Regions from separate parts of the Mus musculus genome. Here region 2 is reported to be linked to region 1. The links are microRNA targets in miRTarBase. Many come from high-throughput screens and were not tested one by one. Region 1 holds a microRNA gene; the other region holds the end of a gene's coding sequence.

Region 1 (12,245 bases):
CTATGATGGCTCAAAATACCAAATATTTTCTCTAGCCTCCTCTTCACAGCTCTCAATTTTAAATGTTCCTGGATCATTGTTAGAGTGGACATGGGAGTTAGTTTACTGAAAACATGACTTGTTGATGAATGGTCAAAGATTAGAAGATTCCAAACACACTGAGACGGATTTCAATATGACAGACCACAGGCCACTGCTGCTCCGTGCTCTGTCTCATTCTTAAAAAAAAAAAAAAATTAATGTTCATTGATTATTTTCTCCTGGGAAGATTGCCAATCGCCACATCATCCTTCATGTACCGAACAAGGAAGACCAGTGTTTCTCCGGCTCGTACTTCTCAACCATATTTAGTAAAAGAGAGGATTTAGGCATGGAGAGATGGCTCAGTGGGCAAAGAACTTGCACCAAAAAACTTAAGGACCTTAGTGCAGATCCTCAGACCCTGAGGCAGGGGCCTCTAATTCCTGCACTTCCGGATTTGAGACCTGAGGATCCCAAGTCTATCCAATCACTGAGCCTCTGTCTCAAAAAAACCCCAAAAAACTAAGGTTGCCAAGCTGGGCTGTAGTGCTGTAAACCTTTAACCACGAGTCGGAGGCAGACAGATCTCTAGGTTCAAGGCCAGTGCCAGGATAGCCAGGGCTACATAGAGAAACATCTGCCTGGGGGAGGGGGGAGGGGTAGGGAAGGGGAGGGGAGGGCGAGACTGGGAAAGGGTGGAGAATGATAGAGGAAGAGTCTTGTTTTAGTCTCTGGCCTCCACAGTGACAAGCACTCCTATACAAGAGTATAAACACTCAATAAACTAAAAAGGAAAGAATTTGTTAAAACTGGCATCGCTTTTTAGGACTCTTAGGTATGCTCTTTTGTTTGTATTGTTTACTTGAGGTGGGAATCTCCTGTAGCCTTCCCTGATGTCATCTCAAATTTGAGGATGAACTTGAATTTTCTTTCTTTCTTCCTTCCTTCCTTCCTTCCTTCCTTCCTTCCTTCCTTCCTTCCTTCCTTCCTTCCTTCCTTCCTTTCTTTCTTTCTTTCTTTCTTTCTTTCTTTCTTTCTTTCTTTCTTTCTTTCTTTTCTGCCTCCATTTCCCTGGCATGTTCCACCATGCCCTAAACTTTAAATCTGTTTTATTTCATTAAGAGCCCACTTCTGATTTTTTCTAAATTGAGTATCAGTTTAGGTAAGGGGAGGAAATAGAATGCAGGGAGGACAAACTATCTGATCTCTCCTTAGTCTCAGTACAGGCCTGCCGGGAGCCCTCCGTAAAGCCAGGAGCCAAACATCTCTAAAGTATGTTGTTGGTAACTAAAGAACAATTTCATTTCTGCCTCATTTTATCCCATGTTCAATGACTTTTGACTGTCTCCCCAGTATTTTCATGTATGCCCCATGGACACTGCTTCTCTGTGGTCAAAGCAGCTTGGCTTACATTAGCCTTACTGGAAAGAAAATTATTTTTGATCTCAGAACCTCTCCCTGCTTTCCGTATATAAATGTGCACTGTGGCATTCCAGAAGAGGCAAATGTGGCATTTTCCAAGTGGATCTGAACTTGGAATTCTTCCCACATCTCTCTCTCCTTCACCAAGTTGCAGGGAGATTAAAAAAAACAAAAAACAAAAAACCAGCAAAACATATTTAACTACAGTTTGGAAAACATTCAGAGTTAAAAAAAATATTCCAGGTTTTAAATTATTTTACAAAGCTGGGTATAGTAGCACAGGCCTTTAATCCCAGCACTTGGGAGGCAGAGGCAAAGGCAGCTGGCTCTCTGTGAATTTGAGGTCAGCCTAGTCTACATAGTGAGTTCTAGGACAGCCAGAGCTACAGAATAGAGAGGTCTCAAATAAATGAGAGAGAGAGAGAGAAGAAGGAAGAGGAGGAGGAGGAGGAGGAGGAGGAGGAGGAGGAGGAGAAGGAAGAAGAAGAAGAAGGAGGAGGAGGAGAAGGAGGAGGAGGAGGAGGAGGAGGAGGAGGAGGAGGAGGAGAAGAAGAAGAAGAAGAAGAAGAAGAAGAAGAAGAAGAAGAAGAAGAAGAAGAAGAAGAAGAAGAAGAAGAAGAAGAATGAAAACAAAACAAGCTGGGCGTGGTGGTGCACGCCTTTAATCCCTGCACTCCCAGCACTCAGGAGGCAGAGGCAGGCGGATTTCTGAGTTCGAGGCCAGCCTGATCTACAGAGTGAGTTCCAGGACAGCCAGGGCTACACAGAGAAACCCTGTCTTGAAACAAACAAACAAACAAACAAAAACACACAACAAACAAACAAACAAACAAGAAAAACAACAACAAAAAAGAAAAACAAAACAAAATCAAACAAACAAAAAAACCCCAAATATAAATAATCCCTAACAACTTCATACTAAGTGAAAAGGTCTGTCAGCATTTTCTGGCCTCTGCTCATCTTCCTGTTTCCCTCATCGTAGACACCTGAAGCATCCTGCCACCTCCTTCCTCAATCTCATTACCATGGCTGTTTGATTTTGTTTGTCTCTCCTGTCTCTGCATTAACCCATTGGTTCCTTAAGTGATCTGTGCGTATATTGCTCATTTCCACTGACAGAGTTCAAGGGCAAATCTATCTTCACCTCTGAGTCTTTAAGGTCTAACATGGTACCTGGTCCAAACGATGCAGTTAGCAATTTTTTGTTTTTAAGTGAAAGAACAAATAGATCAAGCAATAACCACCTCGATTCTAAGGATCAAATTACGACTACGGTGCTATACCAGAGGAAATATTTCTTGGGAATTTTGGCCAAGGCAGAATTATCTTTGGTTTCTAATGGGCTAATTCCAGTCCAGTGATGTGAAGGAAGAATTTCAGATGCAGAAACTCAGGGTGCAATTATGTAGATTCCCTTTTTTACTATTTTGAATATTTACTAAGAGAACAACAACAACAACACCCCCACACAATTGCTTTTGAATATAAGGCAAGCATGTGAAAATGTTTGGTATAAAAGTAGGTCATGTGTAACATATATTTTTCTTTAACTTACAAAGAACTCTGAAATGATGCTAGCTCCTAACATATTATAAAATTGCCTGAATTAGACATATATTAAAAAAATCATTAACTGCTGTTCAAAAGTACACACTCATTCTTGAAGGGAAGTATAAATATGGACATTTTTATAGGGTAAACAAGTGTTGAAGTCTTTGTAGAGGATAATTATTGTTAACCTATAGTTCTGGTAATTTTGGAGACACAGGAGAACTCCGGTTGATATATATGAACCTTATGAGCTGTAGAAAACACATCCAGCTGTGTCCGACAAAGTTCTAGACAGAAGGGCAGGAAGTATCTTCAAGGAAAGGCGCATCAATCAGAAAAGATACGATTCAGAAGTCCTTAGTAGATAATGAGATTTAAAATATATCGTGCACTTCCTGGTGATAAGAACAGAAAAACAAAACATAACAACAACAACAACAAAAAACCCCAACCTTCACCCTACTGGCCTTTTATACCGTTAACCTTTTCTTGGTTAGGGTGTCCACATCCGGACCCTACTGTCTTCTTTCAGTTCTCTCAGTATTTTCCTCTGCCACTTAAGTCTGCTTTTACTTTAAGCTTCTATCCCTACTTGTGGAAAGAAATGGGCCAGGATCACTTTAGTTTGTCTACACATTCAGTTGTTCCTAACTGGGGAAGAAGAAAGTAAAAAGATTTACAGAAACTGGGCCAACCTCTTTGGCCTGCCTCCTTCAAGCAACAGAATCTAACTCACTGCAACAGTATCTCTTTCTGGGTCCTATAACTTAGCATTGACTCTTTCACAACACAGTTTTATTGTAACCATTTTAGTTCCCCCCTCCACCCTCCCCCCCCAGCCTAGAGCCAACAGTGTAATAACATTTAAAAACACTGTGGTTGAAATCAAAGCTTTGTGCGTGGGTGATTACTGCACTGGCCACGCATATCCAGTCACAGAACAGAAGAAAATTGCAGCAATCGACCGAGGTATTTCTTTGTGGGTCATCTGAAGCACTGTACTGAGGCAGGCATCCTGTGTACAGTAGCGCCTGGAATACTTCAAGCAGAGTTTTATTGTTGCGAGGGGACAGTGAGGGGCTGATTTGTGGCGATCGGTTCCTCACCAATCGCGATGGTCAGACACTGTTCAGCGTTCTGTCCACGGACAGGGTCTCCCTTGCTCTCCAGCCGCGTTTGAAGCCACGCTTGAAGTTTCCTGGGAATACCCCCCAGCCCCGCCCAGACCACGCCCCAGTCATAAGCCCCACCCCCAGGCAAGGCTCCGCCCCGCATGCCGCCGTCGCCGCCACCGCCGGCAGGGGTCGCGCTGCCCCAGGCGAGCCGTGCAGGCGGGGGTGGGGAAGCTCCCGCAGCCGGTCGCTTTTCTCCGCCGCCGCTGGTTGGATCGTTTCAATAAAAGTCTTTTTTTTTTTTTTTTCCTTTTTTCTTTTCTTTTTTTTTTTCTAACCCCCGCTCTCGCTCGCTCCGGGGAACAGGCGGAGGCGTCAAGCCGCAGCCTCCGAGCGAGAGAAAGCAACGCGCACTCAGACGAACGAGAGCGGCGGCTGCGGTCTACCCAGCGCCCGGCAGTCCGGCAGCCCGCGCCCCGCCGCCTCGCTCCGCCCCGGCTCGGTGGCCGGGAGTACTGGGCCGTCCGCGAGGCTCCGCGGCCCGGGAGCCATGTTGAGCGGGGGGCTCTGCCACGCGTGAGGCGGCCGGCGGCCCTCGCGGAGCGGAAGGCGCGAGGTTGGGGGGTGGGGGGAGGCCTGAGCCTGAGGCGCCTCGGCGCGTCCGCCACCACCGGACCTGCATCCGCTCGCTCGCTCTGCGCGCCCGCCGGTCCGGAGCCCGCGGTCCCCGCACTTGCTGGTGAGTTGGCAGCGGGGCTGGGCAGGGATCGTGACGCCTGTCAGCGGGCGGCTCGAGTGGGGATCTTGTCGGTCGCATGTCCACGCGCGGCGTGGGCTGCGGGAGTGCGGAGCTGGTTGGGGGACCTGGGGGGAGGGGCTCCATGCGCCGCCGCTGAGAGTTCGCAGCCGATCGAGGCTTCCTGGGGAGGCTGCTGGCCCCGTGGGGCGCCGGGAGGGGAAGAGGCGGAAAGTCCCCCCGAGACACAAAGGTCCCCGGGGCCGGGGTGGAGGCGCGGGCGCGGGGCGGCGGGAGTGGGCGAGGACGCGGCGCTGCGGGCTCCTTGGAGACGCGGGAGGCTGCGCGCGGGTGGGTGGGCAGCTCCGCGGGGGAGGAGCCCTCTCGTGGGGGAGCGGGTCGACACAAAGCTCCGGGCAGCCCTCTTGCTGGCGGGTCACACCCCTGAGTGTCGCTCCAACCGGAGGCGGAGGGACTGTGGGAAACCCAGAGAACCCGGGAAGAGGGGGTTGTGTGTGTGTGTGTTCCACCGTTGTCTTAGCCGCAGTTGCTTTTCTCGGTGTTTTTGTCCGGTTGCTTCTGCTCCCCATCTCAGCTGGGTGGCCCCAGTTTTCTTCCCCACATCACCCCCACGCTGCCACCTCGCCGTCCCCTGTGGTTCCCCACTCATTCTCTCCCCTACTTTTCACCCACTCCTTCTGGGGTAAGCGGTATTTTGCCTTCAGCTAGGGGAACGTTTGCTAATGACAGGATGCCTGACTTGGTCTGACCCTGAACTGCCTTGAACTCTTCTCTTTTTTTTTTTTTTCCTCCCACCCTTTCCTTTCTGGGATCTTCTGTGTCACATGGCCATTAACAATTAGCTTTTCTTCTTCAAAAATGGCAAAAGCCTTTAGCTGAAATCCGTGGCGCCTTTCCCTTATGTTAATGTGGCCATCGAAGACGACGCATCAGTGGCCCTGTTTTATCGCCTCCTGAGCCAAATTGATTCTCTAGACACAAGTCACAAATTTTGTTTTGCGTCTTGGCCATTCCTTGGGCCAGCAAAGTGTATTTCTGGTAGCAGAGCTTCTGTCACGTCACAGGCAATGCTTGACTAAGGGAGACAGCTCTTGCCTCCCAACTTTGCTGTTTGTTTTTTCCTAATCCTTTGTTGGGTTTCTTTTTAACTGCATTTGTGCAAGACTATCAAAGTAATGGATTTGAGTGACTTGGAAATTGACGTTGTTAACCACGGAACAGAAGACGACCTCTGATCAGTTGAATTGACCTAAACCTTTGAATCAAGAAACATGTGTAAACTAAATTTAAGGAGGAAAAAAAAATTGCTAGTGGGAATGTTAATTGGTTTTATTTTGTTCTCTTGTGAACACCAGGAATTGGCTTATGTATTAAATGTGGTGTCACCTGGTTAATGAAGTCATTTCAGTTTTTTTTTTTTGTTCTTTTAACATCTGCATAATTCCATAAACAGCGGGTTTAAACAAAAGAAAACAATATGACTAAGGACGTCTTTCATTTTAATTTTTATTTCTAATGTTGTGAGTGAACACAGGAATGTGAAGAGCGCTGTTCTTTTATCTGGCGAGCCATCTCCTAGGCCAGAAGCATTAACTCTTTGAATGCTGCTCGTCAAAGATCTGTTGCAGAGCCTTTGAATTGAAGCTGCTTTAAAATTCCAATGCAAGGGCTGGTGCGATGGCTCAGTGGGTAGGAGCGCCCGACTGCTCTTCCAAAGGTCCAGAGTTCAAATCCCAGCAACCACATGGTGGCTCACAACCATCCGTAACAAGATCTGACTCCCTCTTCCGGTGTGTCTGAAGACAGCTACAGTGTACTTGCATATAATAAATAAATAAATCTTTACAAAAAAAAAAAAAATTCCAATGCAAGTGCCAGCAAGATGGCTCAGTTGGTACGGGTGCCCGTCTCAGGGCCTGAGTTCAATCCTGGGAACACATGCAAAGACGGAGGCAAGAACAGCACAACGTTGTCCTCTGATTTCCACATGCATACACCACACACATCACGAACATCATCACCACCACCACCAACAACAATTGATTCATAATAAATAATAACAACAATAATATGTATTTTAAAGTTCTTATGCAAACATAGGAGTTTCAACTATTTTTACAGTGGAAATAAGAATGCTAATGAAAATATGAATAAGAAGAAAGTCAAAGTAAGATCCATTTATTGTAGGTGCAGTAATGTTAGTGCTGCTGTAAAGATATTCATATCCTACAATGTGCTGTCCTTATTGACACTAAAATTTTAGATATTTCAGCTAGGGATTAGTCTGCATTTTCAACTTCCTCTTTCCCAGTCAATGTTTTAGAGACTTTTGTGAAATTACAGGTCACTTTATAGTAATTGATGCTTAATAAATGTATCAAAACTGTGAATATTTTTTCTCCACACTTATTAGTACCTACTTAGATAATAAAAATTTGTGTCACTTCAAGAAAGTGTATGCCCAATAAGTGTTTCTGGATTGTGGGTCGTTTATTTTTTACCTCTATTTTTCTAAATTTTCATATTACTTTTGCAGTCAGAAAAAAAATGTAGAATTAGAGTCTTGTTAATATCGTAGTTTTTGCATTCCTAAAATAGGGTTTTGTCAAATATGTAGTTTATTCCCTTTTTTGGGTTCAGGCCCAAGGAAGTAACTTTTAGTGTTAACTGTATGACACAGTGTAATCTGTCCTGTACGAGTTGGTTATCAAAAGAGCAGAAGAGATATGTGCACAGTAAGGAAAGATGAAATTGGAGGCCTTAATTCAGAGTGTGGTAGCATTAATGATGCTAATGGCTTCAATTGGTTCTACAAAAACTAGAAGACAGAAAATCGTGTCCTGTTCTGTAGCTTACACCTGTGGTGACTACAAGCCCTGTTGACTACAGGGATTTTAAGGTATGTTTTGATACATTTAGTTTTCAGATATTGTGTGGTCCTGCAATTGTGATGGGAAGGCGTGGGGTATAAGATTATTTGCTTGGCTCTGGCAAGGCTTGTTCTCAACCCTCAACTCCCAGCAAAACTGTTTCCTTTTCCTTCCTTGGTGAAATGGAGCTACAGACTGAAGAGCAGTGGGGTACCTTATTGTGACCAGCACAGAGAAGGATTGTGGCAACCCAGGAGGCTGTTCCAAAGGGGAGACCGGGATGCCTTCTGATACTACTAAAAAGCTGTCTGAACACAGCATTTCTTTGCCTGTTTCCTTTGTTATTGTCTCATAGTAGGCATTTTATTGTTGTTCTTTGTATAATTACAACTTCACGTTCTGACATTCTTCTACATGGGTTTTCTACTTCCAGAGTGGATAATTACTGAATAAGTGTATTTCTCTGATGGTGGAGAAAGGCCATTATATGTTAAACTCTACTTACAGAAATAGTCTCTAGGCTATTTTAGAAACAATCTCTCCTTTTGTGCATGCAAAGGAAGAGTAATTTTGGATTATTTCGAATTTAAAGAGTATTTTTGCTCAAGCTTTTTAATATTGTATTTGAATTATTTTTATAAAACGATTATGACATTTTTAATTTTTAGTGCTGATGTAATGGTATTTAAAATGTGTTTTCCATAGTACTTGTAAATGCTAGAAGACTCATTCCATAGCTCACTAGCAAATTCAACCTGTAATGTTGCCAGTTTCTTTGAACTATTTGGAGAGAGGACTGATTTGACGGGCTTTTAAGGATTCTTCTTGTCTTTATGGCTTTGTTACCCTTTTGCTCACAGTATAATCACTTGGTGTTTAGTTTCGTGTGTGTGTGTGTGTGTGTGTGTGTGTGTGTGTGTGTGTGTGTGTGTGCGTGCACGAGTGCGTGTGTTTACTTTTAACATCTGTAAAATATTGACCTGGAAAAAGGAATTGTGAAGAGCCTGAAAAAAACTGTTTTGGGCATAACTTTCTCACTCTGCCATGTTTTGCTCTCTCTGCTGGCCAACTTGGAAAATCAATAAACATTAAGAGTAAATCTAATGTTTTATGGTCCACAGTAACGTGCCATCCTAAACACTTGTTTTTAGGAGGTTGATTTACAGATCAGATCCACAGTGTGTCAGGATAGCTTGCCTAGCAGAGGGCACAATTAATATTTAATTACTTTTTTTCCTTGTAGTTCATACTGTATACTGAATGATTGCATGGCCCCACAAATTCATGTGTTGAGACCCATAACCTACTGGTTAAATGGTTTGGAGCTAGGCTTGAGGGAGCTAATTTGGATTTAGTGAAAATGATTTTATTTTCCAAAGAATCTTCAAAAACACTCTTTGATAAACCTTATCTTAGTCCACTTCATCTTCCGTAACAAAACATCACTCATTGAGTGGCTTTTTAAAACAGCTTTTTCCTCCCTGTTCTGGATTCCTGAAGTCTGAGGTCACAGTGCCAAACCGGTTAAATTTTGGTGAGGGCTCTCTTCTTTGTTTGTAGATGCCTGTCTCAACTGTGGTTTTCTGGCCTTTTGTTTGGTGCCTGCAGGTGGAGAGGGAGGATGAGAGAAAAAATGGGAGGGGGTGCTGGGGGGGGGTAGAGGAAGAAAACATGGGCTAGAGGGTTTTCTTCTTATAACTACTATTATAAAGGCCTGCCCTCTGGACCTTGCTTAAATCTAGTCAGATCGCCCAGATCACCTCCAAAAACCATTGTACCCGTAGGTGAGAGTCTCAACACGCGAATCTGAAGCCACTCAAATGTTCAGTGTTTAACGGAAGCTGTGAGAAAGATCCTCAGTTGTGCCTGGTGCTGTGCTAGACTCTATTGTTTTGTTAAATCCTCACAGGAAACCTATTGTATTGGGTAAACCTTTTTTTCCTAATAAGGAAGCAGAGGTCTTAGGTTAGGTAATTTCCCCCAGGGTCCCACCACTATAGTGACCCAAGATCCAGTTAACATTCAAAAATGCCGTGCTCATAGTGTCTCTACCAGGATGCAATGCTGAACAGCTTGCTGGCTAACATAGAAGCCGCGCTAAGTCAGAGGAAAGCACAGGCAGTGTGTGTGCAAGATTGTCCCACAGTCCTCCCCACCCTGGCTTCTTTCACGGAGGTTTTAAGTACATTTGCTTTCTTTCCAAAATGTCTGTGTTCGTTCACGTTGATTTTACATGTCTTAGAAGTTTTGACTTTCTATCATTTAAATGATAATGCTTTCATTATGTGAGCGTATGCCATCTGTGTTGGCCAGCTTTATACTCCTGGGACAGAGGAGTGTTTCCTAAGGGGAAAAGTCACCCTTCAGGAGGAGGCCGTTGTTTTGACACTTGTTTCAGAGGTTTCGGTGGTTATTTGGCTCCCTGGTTTCTGGGCCTGTGGTCAGACAGAACATCATGGTGAGGAACGTGCATGTGGTAGAGCAAAGCAGATCCGCTTGCTCCTGTTGTCAGGGGAGCAAAGGGAGGCGGGAGGTGGAGCCTGGGATGGATTGTATCCCTCATGCTCATGTCTTCCAGGACCTGCTTGCCTTACCTAGACCTTCCTCCTGAAGTTTCCACTGCCTCCCAACCTCTCTCTAGGTTATTAATTTATAAATACCTTAATCTATCTGTGAGATCAATGCCTTCATGATCCAGTCACCTTCCAGACAGTCCACTGTCTGAAACCCTGTGGCATTGAGACTGCTTTTAACCCTTGAACTCCTGGGAATATTTGGGAGCCAATCCATGATACCATCAAAGTGAAAACTTCAACAAATACACACACCACCTATTGTTTTGTTTCGTTTTATCTTGATATAACTTACTGTAAGCAAGGTAGAAACTTTGCATATGTTTAATCAGATACCCACTGAGAATAGAATGATAATATTTTTCATGTTGAAAATTGATCTTTAGGATAGAAAAAAAATCTATAAATTAGTATTGTTAGCATACATTTCGTACTCAATTTAAAGAACAGAAAATATTATTTCCTGAAAGGTGTTTAATTAAGGTGAAAAGGAATCCCCCCCCCCATAAAGGCTAATACTGAGAATCATTTAGCTGGTCATACTGGCACATACTTGCAGTCCCAGTGCTGAGGAGGGTGAGGCAGGAGGATTACAAACAACTTTAAAGCCATTCTGAGCTATACAGTGAGATTCTGTCTCAAAATTTTTTTCCCTCCCTCCCTCCCTCCCTCCCTCCCTCCCTCCCTCCCTCCCCCTCTCTCTCTCTTTCTTTCCTTTCTCTTTCTGTTTCAGAGATTCTCTCAATTGAACCTGAGTTAATGTTTTCACCTAGACTGTCCGGGCAGTAGACTGAGCACCCTGCCCTGTCTGCACAGTCTCCAGCACTGGCCTGTAGACATGGGCACGATGCACAGCTCTTCTTGTGGGTTCTAGAAACCTGAACTCAGAGCCTCGTGCTTAGGGAAGCCGTTGGTGACAGATCTGTCTCTCCAGCCCCCTGTCTTTTCATAGCGTGTTTTGTTTTGTCTTTCATTTTATGTACTTGTTACTATATGTTCAAGAATTTTCAGTTTTCTATGTGTGTAAATAATGAAGAAAATATTCGAAGGTATCTTTTCACTGTCCCCTAGATTATGTGGTCATTTTGTTTTTCTCAAAGCATATTTTTAATGCTGCAGTATTTTTCATTGATGGCTGACAGTTGTTTTTAGCACATATTATTGTTCACTAATACAAATAAAGGTTGATAAGAGCTATATATTTGTGAGAAATTTCCAACTCACAAACGAAACTGAGACAATTCTTTTTTAAATAATGTGGGGTTTTTCATGTTTGTTGTTGTTGTTTTTTTTTTGTTTTGTTTTGTTGTTTTGTTTTTTTTTTTGTTTGTTTTTTTTGTTTTTTTTTTAGGGGCCAGAAAAGTGGCAGCGTTGATTAGAGCTAGCCGGCTTTCAGCGATGAAGAACTATGGGTGTTGATATTATAATCCTGGGAGACGTGGAGAGAACTTCTCACTTTTGAGGCCAAAATGCCATTTCCTCTGACATCTTCCTTATTCTGGTCTGACAGGGTTGTGGCCATTATGTTATTTGGAACGTTTATGTCTACTGTAGTGCTGACTTCATTCTGCTGTAGGGGATGTTTAAGTCTCTCTCCTTCCTGCTCTGTTTTCCTTTTCTGTGATCTCATCTACACACTCAGTTCAGCTCAGTGGAGTAGGGGACTAGGGAGCACCGCCTTGATACATTGTTCAGTTCAATGGACTGGGGGTTGGGAAGAGACTAGGGAATACCACAGTGATACATTGTTCAGTTCAGTGGACTGGGAAGACTTGCCGGGGTGGGGGTGGGATTACTAGGTACTATCACAGTGATAAGTTGTTTAGTTCAGTGGACTGGGGGACTAGGTAACGCCACACTGGGATAGTAAAATACCATCAGAGTTGTTGGCCTAGAAACAAAGAATAATTTCAGGTTTTGAATATTGGAGAATACCATG
Region 2 (12,245 bases), not on the chromosome of region 1:
TGTGTGGGGAGAGCTTTCTTCATCTCTCATCCCTGAGGGAGCATCAGAAAATCCATACTAGAGGAAACCCATTTGAAAATAAGAGCAGGATGTGCGAGGAGACCTTTGTCCCTAGTCAGTCTCTCCGACGGCGCCAGAAAACTTACAGAGAGAAGCTGTTCGACTTTAACAATGCCAGGGATGCACTGATGGGAAACTCAGACTCCAGCGAGCATCAGAAAAACCGTTCCCGAAGGAACTTCTTTGAGGGCAGAGGATTTGAGAAACCCTTCGTTGAATCTCAGAAGAGTCATACTATAACAAGACCACCTGAAAACAAAGACGATGACAAGCCGTTCACCATCAGTGTCAACCCTAATGACAAGCTGAAATTCCCCATCATGGAAAATGGCTCCCAGGGCAAATCCTATGAGAGGTCTGTTATTCATAGCTTGGGCTCCGCAGAAGCTCAGAAGAGTCATGGTGGACTGGGGTTCAGTAAACCAAGACCAGTGGCAGAGTCTAGCACCCAGAGCTCAAGCAGCATTTACTACCCCAGAGCACACTCTGGAGGCAACACCTATGAAGGAAAAGAATACAAGGACTCTATCATCCATAGCTTGCCAGCTCCTCGACCTCTGAAACGTCATAGAGCAAATGACCATATTCAATGTGATGAGGGGGGAGAATCCTCCATTTATATCCCAGATATTATTAATAAGGGAAGGAAGATTCCTGCCAGAGAAGATGCTTATGAAGGAAGTAGCAGCAGCAACTACCACACACCAAATGTATCCCGTGCTGAGCCTCCAAGTCTTTCTGGAGAGTCCCATGACTCTAAGCAGGATGTCACGTTTTCAGTTCCCAGCTCAAGTGTTCGTGAACACCAGAAAGCTCGTGCCAAAAAGAAGTACATTGAGCCCAGGAACAACGAGACCTCTGTTATCCACTCCCTACCTTTTGGTGAGTTGCTTGCAGGTCACCGTAGGGCAAAGTTCTTTGAGTGTCAGGAATGCGGGGAGGCCTTTGCTCGTAGGTCTGAGCTCATTGAGCACCAGAAGATTCATGATAGAGAAAGACCTTCTGGAAGCCGACATTATGAGCGCTCTGTCATCCGCAGCCTTGCGCCCAGTGACCCTCAGACCAGTTATGCCCAAGAACGTTTCATCCAAGAACAAGTGCGTAAATTCAGAGCGTTTGGACAACGCTCAACTACCAGCAACAACCTCAGTGTACAGAAAATCTATGCCCAAGAGACATTTAATGCCGAGGAGCCCCATGATAAAGAAACTCATGGTCAAAAAATTCATGACAAAGAGCCATATGGTAAGGAGCCCAGTGGCAAGGAGCCCCATGGTGATGAGCCCCAGGACAAAGAACCCCTTGATCAGGAGATGCGCAGTGAAGAGCCCCATGATGATAAGCCCCATGGCCAGGAGCCCCATGATGATAAGCCCCATGGCCAGGAGCCCCATGATGATAAGCCCCATGGCCAGGAGCCCCACGGTGATGAGCCCCATGGCCAGGAGCCCCACGGTGATGAGCCCCATGACAAGGAACCCATTGATCAGGAGATGCGCAGTGAAGAGCCCCACAGTGAAGAGTCTCATGGTGATGAGCCCCATGGTGAAGAGTCCCATGGCCAGGAGAAAGTTGAAGATGCTACCATTCAGGCCTCAGTTTCTGAAGAGCATCAGAAAGATGACGCTGGTGATGCAATCTATGAATGCCAGGACTGTGGGCTGGGCTTTACTGATCTCAATGACCTCACAAGCCACCAGGACACCCATAGCAGAAAGGCTCTGGTTGACAGTCGTGAATATGCACATTCTGAAGTTCATGCCCACTCCGTCAGCGAATTTGAGAAAAAATGCTCTGGAGAGAAACTATATGAATGTCCAAAATGTGGGGAGTCTTTCATTCACAGCTCGTTACTTTTCGAGCACCAGAGAGTTCACGAACAAGACCAGCTGTATTCCGTAAAGGCCTGTGATGACGCTTTCATCGCTCTGTTGCCCGTGAGACCAAGGAGAAATTGCACTGTTGAAAGGAATCCTGCCGTTTCTGGGTCAGCCATTCGATGCCGTCAGTGTGGACAAGGCTTCATTCACAGTTCTGCCCTAAATGAGCACATGAGACAGCACAGAGATAATGAAATAATGGAACAGAGTGAGCTTTCAGATGAGATTTTCATTCAAGGCCTAGCCCTCACTGAGTATCAGGGGAGTGAAACAGAAGAGAAGCTTTTCGAGTGCACAATCTGTGGGGAATGCTTCTTCACTGCCAAACAGCTCGGGGACCACCACACCAAAGTTCACAAGGATGAGCCCTATGAGTATGGGCCCTCCTACACCCATGCCTCCTTTCTCACCGAGCCCCTCAGGAAGCACATCCCACTGTACGAATGCAAAGATTGCGGCCAGTCCTTCCTAGACGACACTGTCATCGCTGAGCGCATGGTGTTTCATCCTGAGCGAGAAGGTGGGTCAGAAATAGTAGCTGCCACTGCCCAAGAGGTCGAAGCCAATGTCCTCATCCCACAAGAAGTACTGCGAATCCAGGGGTCAAATGCAGAAGCTGCTGAGCCCGAAGTGGAGGCTGCAGAGCCCGAGGTGGAGGCTGCAGAGCCTGAGGTGGAGGCTGCAGAGCCTAATGGAGAGGCTGAAGGGCCAGATGGAGAAGCTGCTGAGCCTGATGGCGAGGCTGAGCAGCCCAATGGAGAGGCTGAACAGCCAAACGGTGATGCTGACGAGCCAGACGGAGCCGGGATCGAAGACCCAGAAGAGAGAGCTGACGAGCCTGAGGAAGACGTCGAAGAGCCAGAGGGAGATGCAGATGAGCCCGATGGTGCAGACATTGAAGACCCAGAAGAGGAAGGAGAAGATCAAGAGATTGAGGTTGAAGAACCATACTACAACTGTCATGAATGCGCAGAAACGTTCGCTTCCAGCTCAGCCTTTGGCGAGCATCTGAAAAGTCACGCCAGTGTGATCATCTTCGAGCCGGCCAATGCTCCTGGAGAGTGCTCTGGCTACATTGAACGGGCCAGCACCAGTGCAGGTGGTGCGGAGCAGGCAGACGACAAGTACTTCAAATGTGATGTGTGCGGGCAACTCTTCAACGACCGCCTCTCCCTTGCCAGACACCAGAATTCTCACACTGGTTGAGTAACCAGGCTGAAGAAAAGAAGAGCAAAGCCAAACCTTCTTCCCAGAACCAGACCCTTAATAAATCACAAAGAGAGCCTAAACCAACCCATAATGTCTATAAGAAATTCACCTTCCTGTATACATACCGGACTTCACATCAAAGACTTTCACTCTCATCACAGACTGAAAAAAGAAAAGACATTGAACGCAGGGACTCTTTCAGTTTTAGCTGTTCCCTATGGAACATCAGTGTATATTTGGGAAAGCTAGAGTGAACATCTACATCTTCCATTTCATCTAAGTAACTAGATTGAGGGAAAACCTAGTGACAATTCCAGACCACAGAGGTTGCCCCAGTCGACTGTAAATGATACCCCTTTCATACCCTATACATAATGATTCCTGCCATGTATATAAATGAGCAAATCAGTGATACATATATTTGGATTTAGTGTGCTATAGAATTTACAGTTTACTCTACAGAGCTACCTAGCCTGGTACTCTGATTTTTTCCCTGAGGAGGAAGAGAGCAACAATTTAGCATATATTTGTAAGTATTGTCCATGCAGAAGCTTTTCTGTGCATCATTTGAACCCCATTAGTATCCTTTCCAGTAATGGAGTGTTCTGTCCCCTACCTCTTAGATAGTCCTGTGAAGGTGTGGGTGTGAAAGATCGTGTGTCTTTGAATCCTGGCTGTGTGGAAACAGGCATTTTAGCTTCTACAGCCATTTGGTGTGCACCCAGACCCCTTGAGACTGATTGTGTAACCCTTTACAATATATGGATTTGTCTCTGTGACCCAAATCAACCCATCCCTACATTTATATACCTTACAGTGGTTTTCTTGCAAAAAAAAAAAATGTTACATTTGAGGTGTTCTTTAAGGTTTGGGTTTTTGTTTTCTAACCAACTCATCGTGTGTTTGATAGTGAATTCATGAAACCTGAAGCTTTTCCCTGTAAATCTTAATGTCTTTGCCTTTAAAGAGTGGGTGACAACCATCGCTAGATCACAGTAGTGCCTAATGAAAGGTTGGGAACCACAGGAGAGGCTCTTACATTGTAAATAAGGAAGCAAACTGACAACCTTTCATTAGCTGCTGTGTGCTTCCTGCCTTAAGTGACAAGTGGCAGCGTCGCTTGAGTCACCTGTGTGGTGTTGTATTGTGCTTGCCACAAGTCAGTGTGCTCCCTGGGTGCCCAGGAGCTAGAATCCTTAGATCTTTGTGTCTCCAGACTTAATTCCCCTGTTCTCTATGTGTCTGTCAACCCCAAGTCTATCGCATTTTAAGAAAAGCAAACACACACACACACATACACACACACACACAAAGCTTTCTTTATAGTTAATCCTAGCTTACTTAACATGGACTCAGGTTCCCCAGCAGCCTTAAGTTTTTTTGTTACCATCGTTCTTTCTCATGGAGTCTCCTTAGTATTTCTGAGCTTTCCATTTAGTGTGCCATCTGTCTCCATGTCACCTGATGTCACAAACTGACTTCCCAGCTTGAGATTTTCTGCGTCCGATACACGGACTGCGTGCGCTCCTTTACTTCCCCTCCCCTCATGGCTATAGAAAGACAATTTTTTGGCCTTCAGTTGGCTGGGGAAAAAAAAATTTAAAAATTTAAAAAATTAAAAAAAATAAAGCGGATCTGTAGCCGAAAGATCGCAAGATAAGTACAGATCATCTGAGAACGTGAACAGAGTTTACCTGCTGGAGAAAGCGGTCTGACTCTCAGACTTCTAGATCTGTAGATCCGGGGCTCATGAGGGAGTGTGCCAGAGCCTCAGTGAATGCCAAAGTCTTCAGAGGTTGGAGACCTAAAGGCAAGAAATAGAAATGAGTGAGCCAAAGAAGGGAGTTCCAAGATGACAGCAGATCTAGGAAGGAGACCAGACAGACTAAAGAAGATACCAGCAGCAGGGATTGGAAGGTCAGGGTGGTAAAAACAAATTAGAAAGAAGTGTCCTGGAGAGTTGGAAGAAAGGCCTTTTGGATGGCTTCGTGTAGGTGAAGACCAGCTGCATAGAGAGAGCCCCAGGTTGGAACTGACATCCAGAGAAACAGAGGGGCAATGATTCACTGGTGAGGCTCCCTTGAAATGGAAGTCAGTGTCATAGCCATCTGGGTAAATGTGGGGACTCGGTATCAGTGACAGACAGTGTCACCCCCACTAGACCCTTTTCAGAAAGTGACTCATCAAGAAGTCTGAGTTGAGTGTCCATTCTAACTGTAACCAAGTGAGTAGATCAGGAACAATTAAAGTGCCAGACTATGGAAGAGTAATTTAATCAAAGTGCCCTGGATTCTTATGCAGTTGTTCAATAGTGATAACCACAGAGAGTTGTGAAGTAGATATTCTCCAAGTATGAGATGGAGAAAGCAGGACACAAAATCATATTTGTACTACACTTATAACTGTTTTAAAATGTACGCTTATAGTCAAAAGCTATTGTGTTGTTGTAGGCTTATAGTCAAGCATTATTTTCTTAAATTTCTAGAATGTTCTTTATGGTAGTGTTATTCAAAAGTTAAGAATCATATTTCCATTGTGAGCATAATTGGAACTCTTTATGAAACACTTGGAAAATAACAGAGAAGTGGAGAAAGATAACCCATGTCCCCACCATCCAAAGATAGATATACTCTTTAATACCTTGTTTATTCTTGTTGCTGTGCACAGACTTATATATTACAACTGTGTCAAAATGTGTATTCAAGATAGCTGTTCTAGTATTTCCTGTGTAATTACGGTAAAATACTTTGAAGTTTCCCTATGTTCCTTGTAATAGTCGCCTGATAATAAAGTTTAGTATGTAATATCACCACCATAAGCATACTATGTACCCAGTGAAAATTGGAAAATAAGTAAAATTGAACAGAAAACTTTGCCCACACTCCCCATACCCAACAACTGTTAAGATCTTCATCTGTGTCCTTCATTTCATGTCATTGCACAAATTTGTGATTAAAACAGTGTTAAATAGATTTGCATAATGCCTAAAACAAACAGAAATGTGGGAAACAATTAAAAATAGTGTTTTTTTGGGGGGGGGGTTCATGGTTAAATGTTTTGTTTAAGATTTCTTGAATAATCTTCAGTGTTTGGGTAACAAACTTTACGTATGTACTCTGCATCACAAATATAAGGCATACTCAAAGAAAACTGGGAAACTGAAGTGAAGTCGAGAAAAACTGTATTTCCAACAAACTTCTGGTAACGCCTGGATCTGTGCCCCACTGGTGTGATTGTGAGGTTTTCCATGACAAGTGCGTAGTGTCAACAGCAGGAAGAAATGTGGAAAGGTGTGGAATGGCAGGGCAGTTGTGGCGGAATTACAGTGAGCTGTATTTTCTCAGTTTCTTTGAGGGTTCTTTGTCATAGTGTTCTAGCAGGCTGCCCGTATTGCTTATATATGCAGTACGTGACCATTCTAGTAGCCTTGAAGATGTGCAAATGTAGAAGAGAAACTCACCCATATTGTCATTACCCAAAGACTGTGTTAACATCTCCATTTGTTTTCTTTGTCTTGTTTCTGTGCACAGGCTTTTGGTTTGTTAATATGGCTGTAGTTGGTCTATCTTGTAATAGTGTCATCAATAAAAATAAAGTTAAAAATAAGATAATTCTCAGTCTCTTCCTTTGTCCTGTTTATGTGTTTGGGGTTGGTAACTTTGCAGGGACTTGTCACTGTTGATAAAATTATACATCCAAAATGTTAGTGGCCCCTTAGCCATACAAATTTTTGATCTTCAAATCATATTCTTAATTAAAAAAATAAGCCTTTGTGTGTATGTACACGTGTGAATGGATATTTGTGTGTGAGTACAGACATAGACTCTCATGTCCCAGTGTGTGTGTGAAGGTCAAATAACAGCCTCAGGTGTCAGCCCCACCTTCCCATCATTCGAGAGAAGGCCCTTTTCAGTTCACTATGTACCCCCCAGGATAGATGTCTTGCAAGTTAAGATTTCTATAAGAGTGTTAAGATTACAGAAGCATGCAACAGCTGCAGGCTTTATGTGGGCTCTGAGATATAAACTCAGATTTTAATGACCCTGTTATAAGTGCTTTGCCCATGAAGCCATTTCTTCACTTTGCATTATTATTATTATTATTATTATTATTATTATTATTATTATTATTATTATTATTAAAGATTGTATACTCCATCAATCATTTTTCAGTGATCTGTGGATTCTACCTGAATCCTAGCTTTAACTGCTCCTTTTAGACTAAATCATACTTAATCCTACTAAATCATAACTACCTAGTAGCGGTTTTAGATTTTATTATAATCACAAATATATTTTGGTTAGTTTATAGGATATTATTAATTAGAAATATGAGGTTCCATAAAATGAGGGTTCATGAATCCTTACCATGAGGATAATAATATTAGGGCTTAGCATCACAATGAGGCATTTATTCCAGACTTCTGCAGAAGATTAAAAGTATTTATTATATTTTAACCCAGATTCACCACTGGGAACATAACAGTTCATCTGGTTATCATAACTAATGTATGAGAGGTAATTTGTGTGTGTGTGTGTATGTGTGTGTGTGTGTATAAGTATGTATTCACACACTGGAGCCATGCTAGCACACAATCCAAAATGGTTGGATTATATAGAGAAGGGCAGCTAGGGAAAGGGCAGTCCAGTAGGGGCTGGGGAAGTTTAGGGTAGGGGGCAGGGTACAACAGCCAGGAGGGTTCCTCTTACTTCCCCAACCAGTAGCCAAGTGCTGGGATTACAAGTGTGTGCCACCACACCTGGATTTTTATGTGAGTTCTGAGTATTAAACCCATGTCCTCATGTTTGAATGGCAAGTATTAAACCAATAGGGCTACCCCTCCCCCACCTTTTGAGAAGTAATTATTAAGCATTCTTGTAGCTTCATAATTGAATGGGAAAGAAAGAAGAAATATAAAGGGAAGGAACATGGAACATGACCGGTCCTGGATTTCAGCACCAAATTAAGAGAGAGAGAGAAATTCATGTCTGCTCCTAGGTAATGGTGGAAGAGAAAGTTTATTATAGATATGTGGGAGAGCATAGAAAGAGGCAAGGACATTTGGGAGAGTCCAGAGTGGATATGACCTTGGGACGTGGGGGGAGAGTGGCAGAGGAAGAGAGAGGGAGAAAGGAACACCAAGAGTACCAACCAGGAGGGAGGGGGTGGAGGGGAGAAAACAAAAAGAATCAGGTAAGCAAAATGGTTGGATTATATAGGGAAGGGTGGCTGGGGGAAGGGCATCCAAGACCCTGGGCTGGAGAAGTTTAGGGTCGGGGGAATGGGGTATGCCCGTCAGGAGGGCCCTGTAACTGGTAGGGACTAAGGGATGCTGAGAGAACCTGGCAGCATCCACTTTAATATGCTAAATAAGCACCTCTGCCATTTGTCCCAGGGTTTGAAACCTAACAATAATGACCACACATTTTAAGCTCAGTACCTAACTAGATCCCTGCTGGTGACCTCAGTGGAAATGCGACATGAATCCATGGCTGCTTCATCTCTGATCCCATAACTATCAAAAGTGATGGCCAAGTCACTCCACTTTTTCTGCTCAACCACCAGAGTGCACATTGCTCTACAGAGAGAAGAGTACAAATGTCTCTGAATTCCAGTCACTCTGCAGAGTTCTGAATGTTCTCATAGTTCTAAAACTTTGTTCACATTAAAATGAAGTCTCATTGAATTGTGGTTGCCTCATTCGTACCAATCTTGGTTGCTGTGAAGAGACACCATGCCCTTGGCAACTCTTATGAAAGAAAGCATTTAATTAGGGCTTGCTTACAGTTTCAGAAGATTAGTCCATTATCGTCATGACAGGGAGCTCGGTGGCACGTGGCAGACACGATGCTGGAGAAATAGCTGAGAGTTCTACATCTTAACCCACAAGCCGCAGGAAGAGGGAGACACTGGGCCTGGCATGGGCTTTTGAAACCTCAAAGTCTAAACCCAAGTGACACACCTCCTCCAATGAGGACACACCTACTCCAACAAGGCAACGCCTCCTATTCTTTCTCATGTAGTGTCACTCCTCAATGACTAGGCATTCAACTATATAAGCCTGTAGGGACCATTCTAATTCAAGATATCACAGCATCTGGTCAGACCTTGATTACTCATCCTATAACAAGGGATTTCAGCATGGGTCAAGTCAAGAGATCCATTCTTTTTCAAGATTTTTCTAAAGAGTATCCTGATGAAAAGTAATAGAGAACAGAAATGAAATGGTTGTCCATTGAGAACGCATGATCAATACTTGTACTCCTAAGGAGTTCTTTCTTCCCCTACCAACACCTTATTTGAAGGGGTAATTATTCCCTACCACCATATTTATTGCATGAGATCTGATGTCTTTCTAGCATCAGCTGATGTGTGCTCATGGGTTCCCAATGTCCAGTCATTATCAAAAGACACTAGTAGTTAATTAGGTAAGTGTCTTAGGGTTCTATTGCTGTGAAAAGACACCATGACCAAGGCCACTCTTTTTTTTTTTTAATTAATCATCCCATTCGTTTACATTTCAAGTGATATTCCACTTCCCAATTATCCCTCCACAAACCCCCCATCCCACATCTGCCCTCTTCTCCCTCCCCTTTGCCTCTATGAGGGTGCTCCCCCACTGACCTACCCTCTCCTGCTCCACTGCTCCAGCATTCCCCTACACTGGGGCATCAAACCTCCACAGGACCAAGGACCTCCCCTCCCAATGATGTCAGGCAAGGCCATTCTCTGCTACATATATATCTGGATCCATAGATCCCTCCCCTCACACTCCTTGGTTGGTGGTCTAGTCTCTGAGAGCACTGGGTGGTCTGGCCAGTCTATGTTGTTCTTTCTGGGGTTGCAATCTCCCTCTGCGCCTCCAGTCCTTCCACCAGCTTCCCCACCGTGGTCCCTGAGCTCCAAGCATCCTCATCTGCATTGGTCAGTTGCTGGGCAGACCTCCCAAAGAACAGCCACACCAGGTTTCTGTCAGCAAGTATCTCTTGGTAACAGCAACAAAGTCTGGGTTTGGTGTCTGCAGACAGGATGAGTCCCCAGGTGGGGCAGTCCCCGGATGGCCCTTCCTTCCTTCAGTCTCTGCTCCATTGTTTTCTCCCTTTGGACAGGAACATTTCTGGGTTAAATACTTTGAGATGGGTGGGTGGCCCCATCCCTCGACCCAGGGCCATGCCTATCTACTGGAGGTGGTCTCTACAGGTTCTATTTCCCCTTCAATGCAAATTTCTGCTAATGGGAGTCTCTCATTTCCCTGGCGTCTGGAACCCTCCAGTGGCTATCCCCATTTCCTCATCCCCCACTGCTACATATTTTTATTCAATTTCCTGACCCTCTGTACCTCTTTCCTGTCTCCTCCAGTACCTGATACTGCCTCTCCCCCCACCCACATTTATTTCAACCAAGGCAACTCTTATAAAGGAGAAAATTTAATTGTGGCTGGCTTATAGGTGTAGTCCGTTATCATCATGGTGGGAAGCATAGAAGCATGCAGGCAGAGAAGGAGAAGGAGCTGGGAGTTCTACATCTTGATCCAAAGGCAGGCAGGAGGAGGGTCTCATTCCACATTGGACAGAGTTTGAGCATAGGAGTCTTCAAAGTCCACTTACACAGTGAACCAGTTCCTCCAAAAGGCCACACCCATTCCAAAACGGCCACACCTCCTAACAGTGCCACTTCCTGAGTCAAGCATATTCAAACCACCACCGTAAGTGATCATATAGATAAGGGCTGGAGATATTAAAGGGATAAGGCCACAGGGCCTGAGGAAGCTTGCTTCCTAGTGCCTTAATTTTCACTAGAGTCTGGCTGAAAGACCTGCCCTGCCCTTCCATTGCCATAATGAAATGCCAGAGACAATTAACTTATGAACAAACAAGATTGCTGCCAAAGATCAAGTGCTTCCATCGCTTAAAGATGCTGGCAAGGGTGGCCAAGAATGGGAGTGTGATTGCCGAGTAAACCCCTCTGTTTGCAAACTAGGAAGCAAAAGTGTGACTAAGAAACTAAAGTCCCACAATTCTCCTCAAGAGCCTACTCTAGTGATGTAAGAACTAGGAATTAGGCCTCCTTCTTAAAGATTCTGTCACTTATCAACAGAGCCAGGCAGGGGACCACACCTTCAACACACAGGCCCCCGAGACTCTCATCCCAAACCACATGAATAATCCACTAGTTGGCCAAGAAAAACAAGCTTCCCAAGAATTACTGAATGTTGAATGTAAACTAACACTAATTCAAGTGTGGGGATGTTGTAAAGTGGAGAACAATTACAATATGTTACCAGGAACGGCAAGCAAACCAGTTTCCGACCCAGAAAAGCAAGAAAGAAGCCAAGATTGGTACTCTGCCCACCTCCAGTCAGACATCTGGTGTCACAGTGGTTGGTCACAATAAAGTCACTTTTACTACAGAGAGGGCAATGTTGCAGCCTCAATGGAGCAGAGACTTCTACAACATTCTTCCTCCCCCTCAACATATGCCAGCCTCATACTAATAATCATGAGCTTACCGCAGACCTTCACATTTCATGTAGGGGTTAACTATAGTTGTGATAATAAGGGGTGATTCACAGCCATCTAACTCCAGTTCCAGGTGATTCAACGCCATCTTCTAGCCTCCGCAGGTTCCTGTACACGTGGTATATACACATATACTCAGGCACACATACACATATACATTAAAACAAAAGAACCTTAAGCCATAGATCTACCTAGCTGGACATGGTAGTATACACCTTTCATTTCAGCACTCAAGAGGCAGATGCATCTCTGGATTTGAGACCAGCCTGGACTACATAGAGAAACTGTCTCAAAACAAACAACAAAACTTTTCAACGGCACACAAGTGCTTCTTGTTCATACCACTGGGATATGTTCAAGGTTGGCTAGGTGACACTACTTACATTTGACCAGCCAGGTGAACCGAGCCTGCTCTTATGTCTGGTGCTAACTGGTGGTGACCTAACCTAGGTTCTGGGTACAGCATTTCAGTCTTAGTTCCCCTTTCTGTTGATGTGATCAGTTACTCTGACCAAAGGAACTTAAAGGAGAAAGAGTTTATTTTATCTCAGAATTCAAGTATGTGGGAGCATCATAG

The links. The annotated mature microRNA mmu-miR-1931 reads AUGCAAGGGCUGGUGCGAUGGC and lies in region 1 at 6,524-6,545, shown strand. An mRNA with a match to its seed (bases 2 to 7 or 8) in the 3' UTR can be bound and repressed. Matches are read on the target gene's strand: a 7mer-m8 pairs with bases 2 to 8, a 7mer-A1 pairs with bases 2 to 7 and ends in A, and an 8mer does both.
Region 2: miRTarBase lists Peg3 as a target of mmu-miR-1931. Seed matches in the 3' UTR shown: 7mer-A1 at 3,974-3,980.

Annotation. Positions count from the first base shown.
Region 1 is chr10:93,156,356-93,168,600 of GRCm38, forward strand. Mir1931 (microRNA 1931) reads left to right here and starts at 6,430; the gene lies at 6,430-6,548. It overlaps Cdk17 (cyclin-dependent kinase 17), which reads left to right and starts at 4,521. Exons shown (of 17, transcript NM_146239.2): 1 at 4,521-4,845.
Region 2 is chr7:6,698,407-6,710,651 of GRCm38, reverse strand. Peg3 (paternally expressed 3) reads left to right here. Exons shown (of 9, transcript NM_008817.2): 9 at 1-4,692. The coding sequence ends at 3,146. It also overlaps Peg3os. Among named protein-coding and RNA genes, the nearest start is that of Zim1, 8.1 kb to the right of the region's middle.